3 linked regions of the Danio rerio genome follow. The protein of the gene in region 1 binds, or shares a complex with, the protein of each later gene. Links are inferred from orthologs where the notes say so. Each region holds a gene or a part of one and is shown in the gene's direction. Other genes may lie near its edges. The genes, in order: eif2b2, eif2b3 and eif2b1.

The links.
Region 2: eif2b2 (region 1) and eif2b3 share a complex: the UniProt entries of both Homo sapiens proteins name them as parts of the translation initiation factor 2B (eIF2B) complex. The link is inferred for Danio rerio from reciprocal best matches to the Homo sapiens genes EIF2B2 and EIF2B3.
Region 3: the proteins of eif2b2 (region 1) and eif2b1 are in contact, whole or in part, in a cryo-EM structure (PDB 7F64), measured with the Homo sapiens proteins. The link is inferred for Danio rerio from reciprocal best matches to the Homo sapiens genes EIF2B2 and EIF2B1. Residues at the interface, in NP_055054.1 of Homo sapiens: Glu107, Ser108, Leu109, His110, Leu112, Leu113, Thr114, Ser115, Asn242, Phe278, Asn280, Glu281, Glu282, Ser334, Tyr337, Arg338; in NP_001405.1 of Homo sapiens: Leu71, Arg74, Phe75, Leu78, Arg96, Leu99, Phe100, Arg103, Lys110, Thr117, Phe118, Lys120, Ser232, Phe235, Leu283, Asp287, Leu288, Val290, Thr292, Ser294, Ala295, Asp298, Glu299, Leu300, Lys302, Leu303.

Annotation. Positions count from the first base shown.
Region 1 is NC_133195.1:49,881,870-49,885,528, reverse strand, and holds part of eif2b2 (translation initiation factor eIF2B subunit beta), read left to right. Parts: intron 1-1,426; coding exon 1,427-1,547; intron 1,548-1,710; coding exon 1,711-1,862; intron 1,863-2,458; coding exon 2,459-2,622; intron 2,623-3,659. UniProt on the Homo sapiens protein: Acts as a component of the translation initiation factor 2B (eIF2B) complex, which catalyzes the exchange of GDP for GTP on eukaryotic initiation factor 2 (eIF2) gamma subunit.
Region 2 is NC_133177.1:37,042,166-37,046,469, reverse strand, and holds the start of eif2b3 (translation initiation factor eIF2B subunit gamma), read left to right. Parts: upstream 1-1,442; 5' UTR 1,443-1,702; intron 1,703-1,950; 5' UTR 1,951-1,958; coding exon 1,959-2,106; intron 2,107-4,304. UniProt on the Homo sapiens protein: Acts as a component of the translation initiation factor 2B (eIF2B) complex, which catalyzes the exchange of GDP for GTP on the eukaryotic initiation factor 2 (eIF2) complex gamma subunit.
Region 3 is NC_133180.1:75,662,991-75,666,649, reverse strand, and holds part of eif2b1 (translation initiation factor eIF2B subunit alpha), read left to right. Parts: intron 1-2,175; coding exon 2,176-2,312; intron 2,313-2,635; coding exon 2,636-2,752; intron 2,753-3,112; coding exon 3,113-3,225; intron 3,226-3,574; coding exon 3,575-3,643; intron 3,644-3,659.

The DNA of each region.
Region 1 (3,659 bases):
CTAAATATCATCTTCATGATTTAGGTCATTATAACTTTAATAAAATATAACTCTATTTTTAATATATACTTGCTCTGAGGGCCGTTTATATCGAAGTTATATCGTACTATATTGGTGTTTCGTGACGTAGTTTTTATGAGGCAATTAGCCCAATGCTGAACCTCCAATCTGGAGGACCAGGACATACACGACGGCCAATTTAGCTTACTCAATTCACCTATAGTGCATGTCTGTGGACTGTGGTGGAAACCTGGAGCACCCAGAGGAAACCCACGCCAACACGGGAAGAACAAGCAAACTGCACAATGTCACTCCACACAGAAATGCCAACTGAACCAGCCGGGACTCGAACTAGTGACCTTCGTGCTGTGAGGCGACAGCGCTACCCACTGCGCCTGTAATTTTTAATATAACTCTATATTGTATAACTGCTTTTATAACTCTATGTAAAAAGATCATCTTATTTATTGTTTTTTTATTACAAGTTAATTTGCAGTGTTTCTTTCAAATAGAGTTGCATATTATTTTAATAAATCTAATTATTAGTCTAATTATTTTAGTCTAAATTTGCATTTTGATGTTCATTGTTTGATTTTTGAATCATTTACATTTACATTTAGCAGACGTTTTTATCCAAAGCGACTTACAAACGAGGACAAGGAAGCACTTTACACAACTTTAAGAGCAGCAATGAATAAGTGCTGTAGGCAAGTTTCAGGTATGTAAAGTGTAAGAAGCAAAACATTAGTTATTTTTTTTAATTATTATTATTTTGTAGTACAGTTAGCAGTGGAGCCAGAGAGGCAATTGCAGATTAGGAAGTGAAGTGGAGACTAAATAGTTGAGTTTTTAGTTGTTTCTTGAAGACAGCGAGTGAACTCTGCCGTTCTGATGCAGTTAGGGAGTTCATTCCACCAACTGGGCAGATTGAGCGTGAGCGTTCGCGAAAGTGATTTCTTCCCCCTTTGGGATGGAACCATGAGGCGACGTTCATTCACAGAACGCAAGTTTCTGGAGGGCACATAGATCTGCAGAAGTGAGAGCAGATAAGAAGGAGCACAGCCAGAAGTCGCTTTGAATTTTATGCGATCAGCAACTGGCAGCCAGTGCAAACGGATGAGCAGCGGAGTGACATGTGCTCTTTTAGGTTCATTAAAGACCACTCGTGCTGCTGCCTTCTGTAGAAGCTGAAGAGGCTTAATAGAGTTAGCTGGAAGCCCCGCTAGTAAAGAGTTGCAGTAATCCAGTCTGGAGAGAACAAAAGCTTGAACAATCACTTTAGATATAGTTTATATAGTGCATAATTATATAATTACATAGTTTACTTAATTTTTTTGTCTTTTTAATGTATTTATTTGTTCTTTTTAAATCTTATGCTTGTTAATTATTTAGTTTTAAGTTTTTTGACAGATCCTCCTCTTTTAAGGTGAACTGATGGAGATCATCCGGAAGGAGGGCAGGAGGATGACAGCAGCTCAGCCATCTGAGACCACAGTCGGTAACATGATCCGCAGGGTGCTGAAGATCATTCGAGAAGAATATGCCAGGTCAGATATTAAGGCAGTATCTGCAAAAATCACAGCTAGACCACTCATTAAAACAACACATATAAATGGCCCACCCTGCATAATATTTAATAAATAAAATATGTAAAAATCACCATACTGTTTTTTTCATGTGGATGAGCTGGAGATGATATGTTGTCTTCAGGTCCAGAGGCAGCAGCGAGGAGGCGGATCAACAGGAATCTCTGCACAAGCTGCTGACGTCTGGAGGATCCAGTGAAGACAACTTCAGACAGCACTTCGCTCACCTCAAAGCCAACGTCATCGAAGCCATCAATGAGCTGCTGACAGAGCTGGGTGAGGATCCATAGAGAGGCTATATATTCTCCTAATATTTGGGAGGTTTTGTGTTTTAGCCCACATAAAAAAAACACTGCAGTGATTTACAGTAAATACTATAGTGTTTTTGTACTATACTAAGTGTATTATACTGTGCATAATAGACTATTTACTCTGTTGATGAGCACTATAGCATACTGTAGTATTACCTATAGTGAACTGATAAACTGTAATAAATGCAGTAGTTTTACCAGAGATGGGTTGCGACTGGAAGAGCATTCGCTGCGTAAAAACTTGCTTAATAAGTTGGCGGTTCATTCCGCTGTGGCGACCCCGGATTAGTAAAGGGACTAAGCCGACAAGAAAATGAATGAATGTATGAAATACAGTAGTGTACTTTAGTTTTTACTACAGTAATATATGGTGCATTGTAGTTTACTATACACTCACCGGCCACTTTATTAGGTACACCTTACTAGTACCAGGTTGGAGCTTCTTTTGCCAGAACAGCCTTGTGGCATAGAGTACTGGAAATATTCCTCAGAGATGTTGGTCCATGTTGAAGTAAATGTGGCGCTGATGTCGAGTGTTATTGTGGTGATTTGTGTTTTCAGAGGGCACCACAGACAACATCTCCATGCAGGCGCTGGAGCACATTCACTCCAATGAGGTGATCATGACCATCGGCCGCTCCAGGACTGTGGAGGCTTTTCTGAAAGACGCGGCGCGCAAACGCAAGTTCCACGTCATCGTAGCCGAGTGTGCGCCTTTCTGTCTAGTGAGTGCATGTTTATCATGGTCATTTTGGAAAAACACTGTTAATTTTTACATTACTGGCAAAACGGCAGGGTTGTTGTTGCTAGAAGGGATACAGCTGTGGCCGGAAGTTAACAAGAATTATGATTATTAAATTGGCCATTAATTGTACTTTATTAAGGGGTGACACTGTTCGTGTTAGCACTGTCACCTCACAGCAAGAAAGTCACTGGCTCGAGTCCCAGCTGGGTCAGTTGGCATTTCTGTGTGGAGTTTGCATGTTCTCCCTGGGTTTCCTCTGGGTGCTCCGGTTTCCCCCACAGTCCAAAGACATGTGCTACAGGTGAACTGAATAAGCTAAATTGGCCAGAGGGTGTAAGTTTAAATGTGACAGTGTATGGGTGTTTCCCAGTACTAGGTTGGATAAGTTGGCGGTTCATTCCACTGTTGTGACCCCTGATGAATAAAGGGACTATGAATGAATGAATTTTATTAACGCCTACCCCTAACTCACCCCTAAATCCAACCAACACAGTAATGTTACATCAGTAATTATACTGAATATTATTTATATTATTATTCCTACAATTTTTCATTGGATTTTATTTTATTAATGCCTACCCCCAACCCAATGCAAAAAATAGTATTATTGTTGCACAGTGTCAGAAATTATGCTGTATTGATGCAAGTATCCGCAGCTGTATCCCTTCTAGATGTTACCGACAGGCAGCCCTGAGCGAACAACAGTCATTGGACAACAATATACTTTATAATAATTATATAATATTCAAATATTAATATAAAATATTTGATAACACTTAATATAACATATTAAATGTAATTAAACTCAAATGCAGCATTGCATTGTTATTATTATTAAATTAATGCTATTTTCTTTCATAATTATTTAATATAATACTATAAAGTGCAAAAATAGTAAACATTTAAGTATTTAATATTCAATAATTCAACAGTCTACATAAAAACTACATAATATTAAAATGAAATTTTATATTAACATGTATTTTTAAATATTAAGTTACATTAAATTAGAATTAA
Region 2 (4,304 bases), on another chromosome or scaffold:
TGTTTTGAAAAAAATTGTCTTTTACAATTCATATATTCAGATTTTTCATTCAGATTTTCATTTACCATAAACCGACATGTCTACTATTTGGTAGAGGTTGACTTTTTTTTTTTAATTATGGAACGTGTTGAAAAAATGCATTGAGTGTTTTAACTAGAGACATTAGTAGTTAAGAAATGCTATCCAAAAATGTTTTTCTTGGTGGGGCAGTTAAAGGGTTAAACATAATAGGGTGAGCCTAAAGTTGGACATTGCCTAATGTGGGACACCTATGATATATAAAACTATTAAAAAAAAATATCTGGGTATTTTATGCAAAAGTATTTTTAAAATAAAACAAAACATGAAGGAAGAATAAATCATATTTAACTATCTTGTTATATTAATTAAAAAAAAAAGTATACCATAGTGTTTGTTATCGTCATTCATTCATTCATTCATTCATTCATTCATTCATTCATTCATTTTTTTTTGTTTATTCCCCTTATTCATCAGGGGTCGCTACAGCAGAATGAACCGCCAACTTGTCTAGCTTATGTTTTACACAGCAGGTGCCCTTCCAGCTGCAACCCATCACGGGGAAACATCCATTCACATGCATACACTACAGCCAATTTAGTTTATTCAATTCACCTATAGCGTATTTCTTTGGACTGAGGGGGAAACTGGAGCACTGGGAGGAAACCCACGCCAACACGGGGAGAACATGCCAACTCCACACAGAAATGCCAAATGACCCAGCCAGGGCTTAAACCAGTGACCTTCTTGCTGTGAAGCGACAGTGCTAATTACTTAGCCACCGTGTCTCCCAGTTTGATATAGTATAAAATGAAAAAAAGCAACAACTAAATACTTTATCATAAAATTCAATATGCCCATTCAACGCATATTTTTAATAAACCTGCTAAAATGCCCAGTAAATGAAATTTTTTTCTGGAAAATTAATACTTATGAGCATGACTAATACATTATAAATGTATTGTCTCGATTTAACACATTTATTAAAATTTCAACATGTCAAATTCTTATCAATGTTTTTGAAAACCATGAATATTAAATACAAAGAAGAGGGCTGGGCAATAATATGCTACATAATAATTTTACAAAGTTTAGACTAGGTAAACTATTTGTATAGCTGCTTTGAAACAATAATTATTATGAAAAGCTCTATATAAATAAACGTGAATTGAACTTTACAAGCAAAAATTACAAAAATGGAAAACAAATAGCCTCATTCACAATCTGAATCATCTATATAACAACAATAGAAGAATACGTATCCAGTTCATTACAAACATATACCCAAACTACATCAAATCAAGATAAATACAAGTAATAATCGAAATTATCATCGAAATCCTCAGGCTTTCTCTTTCTGCTTCACACAGAGGAACCAATTCTCTCTGCGGAACCAAAGTTAGAGTCGTGTTTTCCGTCCGACGCATTTCAAAGTAACGGTCTTATGTCATTATACAGAAATCTTGATAGTTTTTTTGCAGACAGCCAGAGATTAAACATTGTGACAGTTTTCACTTGTTATTAAACTTTTCATTTATCTAGTTAGAAACTCTCGGTTTTAACAGAACTTATTTGAAGACGGCGAGGCAAGCCTGATCCATATGAACGTCTGCTACAGTGCTGCAGCTTTCACGTGCACGGACTCGATACTTTACACATTATAAACATTTGATAATAAACACAGGTAAGTCGACTGTGTGTGTATTTCTGAACTCGTCGATAAATAGTAGCTTCAGAAGTAGTTATGTTTCATCGTGCGGCTCAGCTGACGAATGTAGATGATGAAATGAGAGTCCTGACAGGCGTAATGTCTTAAACATGACAAGGAAATACATATATTGAACATAATACTCCGTCTGTCACTTTGCTGGATTGTTTTGTTGTTAGTGTTGTTGTTGTTTGTGGACTAAACGTGTTGTTTTGTTCTGCAAGTGTTCGGGATGGAGCTACAGGCGGTGCTGATGGCAGCCGGTGGAGGCTCCAGGATGATGGATCTCACCTATAACACCCCCAAACCTCTGCTTCCTGTGGGCAACAAACCCCTCATCTGGTACCCCCTTAACCTGCTGGAGAGAGTGGGATTTGAAGGTAAACCTACTGTCTTATCAGATAACAAAGTTCATTAGAAGTGTCACCTGCTGAGTGTATGAGGTGTACAATATTCAACACCGTTATCTAGTAAACTCGGCATTTAACACACACTTTTTCATATTGTTATTTTAGATTTTGTAATTAGGGTCTGCCTATAAAGATTGTGTTGGTGGATATGACTGATATGCTCTGCATTTTTTGGTCATCTGTAATACAGTATGGGTTCAAATGGTATTCAAATATCCTCTTTAATTATTATAGAGCAGGGCGATTAATTGAAAAGTAATAGAAATCGACATTCAGAACCTATAATCGATCAAAATTTTTCTTGTCAATTTTTTTCAATTACTTTCCCTACAGTGTGTGGAGTCACGTTAGCCTACTCTGTTAAGCCTGATATATACTTTTGCATTGAACGCATGGGTATGGTCTGGAGCAGCTTTTAAGTGGACGAATACTCGCGCACCTCTCGAAAAATGTAACTACAGATCGCACATTTGCATTACATTGACGATGATTGGAAGCTGCATCAGAGAAGCCTTGAGACAGCGTATTTTCTATTACAATAAAATTATTATTCACATTAAAATATTTGTTTACAGACGATTCAAGAAATACAGTTTAAAATATTAATAACATGATATACAAAAGTTGTTACATTCTGAAGAGATTCTGCTTATTTTCTTTTTAAAACATTGAAAATAATTGATTTTGTTTTCAAAAGTGCAAGTTATTTGTTTTCACTTTTTTATAAGAAAATAGTGACTGTTCGTTTTAAGCAATGTGTGTTTTAATTTCAAATCACTTTTACTGTCACATCATCAGCAGTATGTGTGCTATGATGAGTGAAAAGCTTAGTTGAAAAAATTTCAGTTGTTCAACACTGATGTTCAGTAAATAATCATAGATAGTAAATATCTTAATCAAGTAAAGCACCGTTCATTCAAAAATCTCTCACTTGTAAAATGTGAGCATATTTACTGTACAAAACCTGTCAGTGAACTATGAGTTCAAAAAATCGAGTTAAAATGTTCAGTTAATTGAGATTGAGAGATTATTTTTATTTTTATTATTATAAAGTAGGTTTCATCTGTAATTCAATCAAACAATCACCTTACTACAATCACCAGTAAAATTAAATTACACATTAAAACACAGACAATGACGAAGAACAAAATCAAAGCAATGATGTCAATAAAACAATCATACTAATTTAAACTGCTGAACATCAAATGCTATTCTAAGTAAATGGGGTTTAAGTTTAGCTTTAAGTAGTGCTGCATTTGTGATGGTGTGTTTTTTGGTTATTTATATTTATATTTTTAGGTTATATTTATTATTGTATTTTTTTTCATGCGAATTAAGTAGGGCTGCACAATATATAGTTTCAGGATCAATATCGCAATGTGATCATTCGCATAAGTCACATCGCAAGTATGTGTAATGTTGAGTCTGGATTATAATGTAGCTTATTGCAAGTGTTTTTTGAGGCCTACGACTTTCAGAGGCTTTTAAAGGCATGAGAATATTTACCATTTGCAACTCTCAAATATTAATAATGATTAATTTTATCGAACTGTTTGTAAAATAAATACTTTGCACTATTATCTTACATTTGAATATTCAATTATTTTATACCTGATGACATTTTAACTTTTTAAAATAAAATTCAGTTTATTTAATTAGCATATTTAGATTTTTGAATTTATCTATGCTTGTAGATTGTTTCTTATATTTTATGCACTCTACTACAGAATTATCCCAATCAATCTGAAATTATAAATTCTTTCTAAACAGTTATTCTACTCATCTAGTGAAATTGTATTCATATCGCAATATATATCGTAGAATAAAAATTTTTTTGCAATGCAAAATTTTTCCAATATCGTGCAGCCCTTGAATTAAATGTATGTATGTATGTATGTATATATATATATATATATATATATATATATATATATATATATATATATATATATATATATATATATATATATATATATATAAATATATACACACACACACACACACACACACACACACAATAACCATCAATAGCCCTTTTCCAATATCGTGCAGCCCTTGAATTAAATATATATATATATATATATATATATATATATATATATATATAAATATATATATACATATATATATATATATATATATATATATATATATATATATATATATAT
Region 3 (3,659 bases), on another chromosome or scaffold:
ATGTGAACTAGTGCGAACTGATGCTTGATGTAGATGGGAACTAATGTGAACCGATGCTTGATTTGGATGTGAACTAGTGTGAACCGATGCTTGATTTGGATGTGAACTAGTGTGAACCGATGCTTGATTTGGATGTGAACTAGTGTGAACCGATGCTTGATGTGGATGGGAACTAATGTGAATCGATGCTTGATTTGGATGTGAACTAATGTGAACTGATGCTTGATGTAGATGGGAACTAATGTGAACCGATGCTTGATTTGGATGTGAACTAGTGTGAACCGATGCTTGATGTGGATGGGAACTAATGTGAATCGATGCTTGATTTGGATGTGAACTAGTGTGAACCCATGCTTGATGTGGATGTGAACTAATGTGAACTGAAACTGGATAATATAGATGTGGATCAATGTGGGTGTGAGCCTATGCTTGATGTGAACTACTGTGAACTGATGCTTGATTTAGATGTGAACTAATGTGAACTAATACTTGACATAGATGTGATTGTAAACCGATGCTTGATGTGCATGTGAACCGACTCCTGATGTGGGTGTGAACTGATGCTTGATGTGGATATAAACTAATGTGAAGATATAATTGATATAGATGTGAACAGATTCTTGATGTGAATGTGAAATGATGTGAACTAGTGTGAACCGATGCTTGATGTGGATGGGAACTAATGTGAATCGATACTTTATGTAGATGGGAACTGATGCTTGATAAGGTTGTGAAATTATGTGAACTAATGTGAACCGTTTCTTGATTTAAATGTGAACTAGTGCGAACTGATGCTTGATGTAGATGGGAACTAATGTGAACCGATGCTTGATTTGGATGTGAACTAGTGTGAACCGATGCTTGATTTGGATGTGAACTAGTGTGAACCGATGCTTGATTTGGATGTGAACTAGTGTGAACCGATGCTTGATGTGGATGGGAACTAATGTGAATCGATGCTTGATTTGGATGTGAACTAATGTGAACTGATGCTTGATGTAGATGGGAACTAATGTGAACCGATGCTTGATTTGGATGTGAACTAGTGTGAACCGATGCTTGATGTGGATGGGAACTAATGTGAATCGATGCTTGATTTGGATGTGAACTAGTGTGAACCCATGCTTGATGTGGATGTGAACTAATGTGAACTGAAACTGGATAATATAGATGTGGATCAATGTGGGTGTGAGCCTATGCTTGATGTGAACTACTGTGAACTGATGCTTGATTTAGATGTGAACTAATGTGAACTAATACTTGACATAGATGTGATTGTAAACCGATGCTTGATGTGCATGTGAACCGACTCCTGATGTGGGTGTGAACTGATGCTTGATGTGGATATAAACTAATGTGAAGATATAATTGATATAGATGTGAACAGATTCTTGATGTGAATGTGAAATGATGTGAACTAGTGTGAACCGATGCTTGATGTGGATGGGAACTAATGTGAATCGATACTTTATGTAGATGGGAACTGATGCTTGATAAGGTTGTGAAATTATGTGAACTAATGTGAACCGTTTCTTGATTTAAATGTGAACTAGTGCGAACTGATGCTTGATGTAGATGGGAACTAATGTGAACCGATGCTTGATTTGGATGTGAACTAGTGTGAACCGATGCTTGATTTGGATGTGAACTAGTGTGAACCGATGCTTGATTTGGATGTGAACTAGTGTGAACCGATGCTTGATGTGGATGGGAACTAATGTGAATCGATACTTTATGTAGATGGGAACTGATGCTTGATAAGGTTGTGAAATTATGTGAACTAATGTGAACCGTTTCTTGATTTGAATGTGAACTAGTGTGAACTGATGCTTGATGTGGATGGGAACTAATGTGAACCGATGCTTGATTTGGATGTGAACTAGTGTGAACCGATGCTTGATGTGGATGGTAACTAATGTGAACCGATGCTTGATTTGGATGTGAACTAATTTGAACCGATGCTTGATTTGGATGTGAACTAATTTGAACCGAAACTTGATATGGATTTGAAACCATGTGAACCTATGCTTGATTTGGATGTGAATCGATTCTTGATGTTTACTGATGTGAACTAATGTGAACCGATACATGATATAGATATGAGAGGATGCTTGATGAGGATGTGAAACGATATGAACCGATGTTTGATGTAAACCGATGCTTGTCCTCCTGCAGGTGAAACGATTCTGGGCCTGAGAGAGAACATGACTCAGGCCATTCACAGGCTGCAGGAGGCCGATTCATCCGTCGCCGTGTCATCTGGCGGAGAACTATTCCTGCGCTTCATCAGTCTCACATCACTGGAACATCCGGTCAGTTCAGCATTTCACTCCATCTAGCAGATCTGTTCTGTTTTTATGTAGAAAAAACTGTACTTCTAACTAGCTTACAGAATTTCAGCATTGCATTTTTACTGTTCCTAAATATCACCGACATTTTTAACAATGTGCAGGATAATGTACATCCAGCCAGTTGTACACCACAGAATAAATAACTATACACCAGCTGCTGATAAACCTGTCTGGCTTTAATCTGCGAGAACATCCGGCTGGATGTACATTATCCCTTACTTCAATATGATTTACGGATCATTTCCGTGATTCCTCTTGTACTGTCTTTGTTTTCTGTTCACCAGGATCTCTCCCAGTGTAAGAATGTGATGATCGAGCGAGGTGAACTCTTCCTGAAGAAAATCTCCCTCTCCAGGGGGAAAGTGGGTAAACTGTGCCACACCTTCATCAAAGACGGCGCTGTAAGTAGTCCGCTAAAGACGAAATGGCGTGTTGCTTTAGCATTATATTGCTCAAATGTGACCTTTAAGGAAATCGTTTGTTAGCATAGAGACACGATTGTTTGAAAATCTGCATTAAGGTCTAAATATGGAGAATATCACCTTTAAAAGTTGTTTAAGTTGCATATTACTAATCAAACATTGAGTTTTGATGTATTTATGGTAGGTAATTTGATTGAAGATGATCTTTACTTAGTACTGTCATGATTTTTGGGGTAATAGAAACATCTATAATGTTGACTCATGCAATGTTTTGTTGACTTTGCCTACAAATATACTAAATTCAGCTTGAATCACAAATCTGCTTTCCATGACTTGCAGAAAATCCTGACCCACTCCTCATCTCGAGTGGTCCTGAAGGTTCTGGAGAACGCAGCGGCTGATAACAAACGCTTCACAGTGTACGTGACTGAATCACAGCCCGATTCAGCAGGGTGAGTCTTCACGCTGTTAAAATATGTATATAGCTTAAGGGGGCTAATAATATTGACCTTAAAGTGGTTTTAAAATAATTGCTTTTATTTTAGCTGAATTAAAACAGGTAAGACTTTCTCCAGAAGAAAAAATATTATAGGAAATACTGTGAAAAATTCCTGAATCTGTGAAACATCATTTGGGAAATATTTGAAAAATAAAAAAACAACTTATTAAATCTGACTTCAACTTTATATATTAAAAAAATAATAAAGTAAAAATTCTATGGTCAATATTATTAGTGTATATAGTATCTATTTTTTAAGTGTTAATGTTTTATTCATGTTTTTTCCCCCTGTTTCATCATAGTAAACTTATGGCTGAAAAACTCCGCAAGCTCAGCATCCCAGTCACAGTAGTGCTCGACGCTGCAGTCGGGTGAGTTTATTACTCT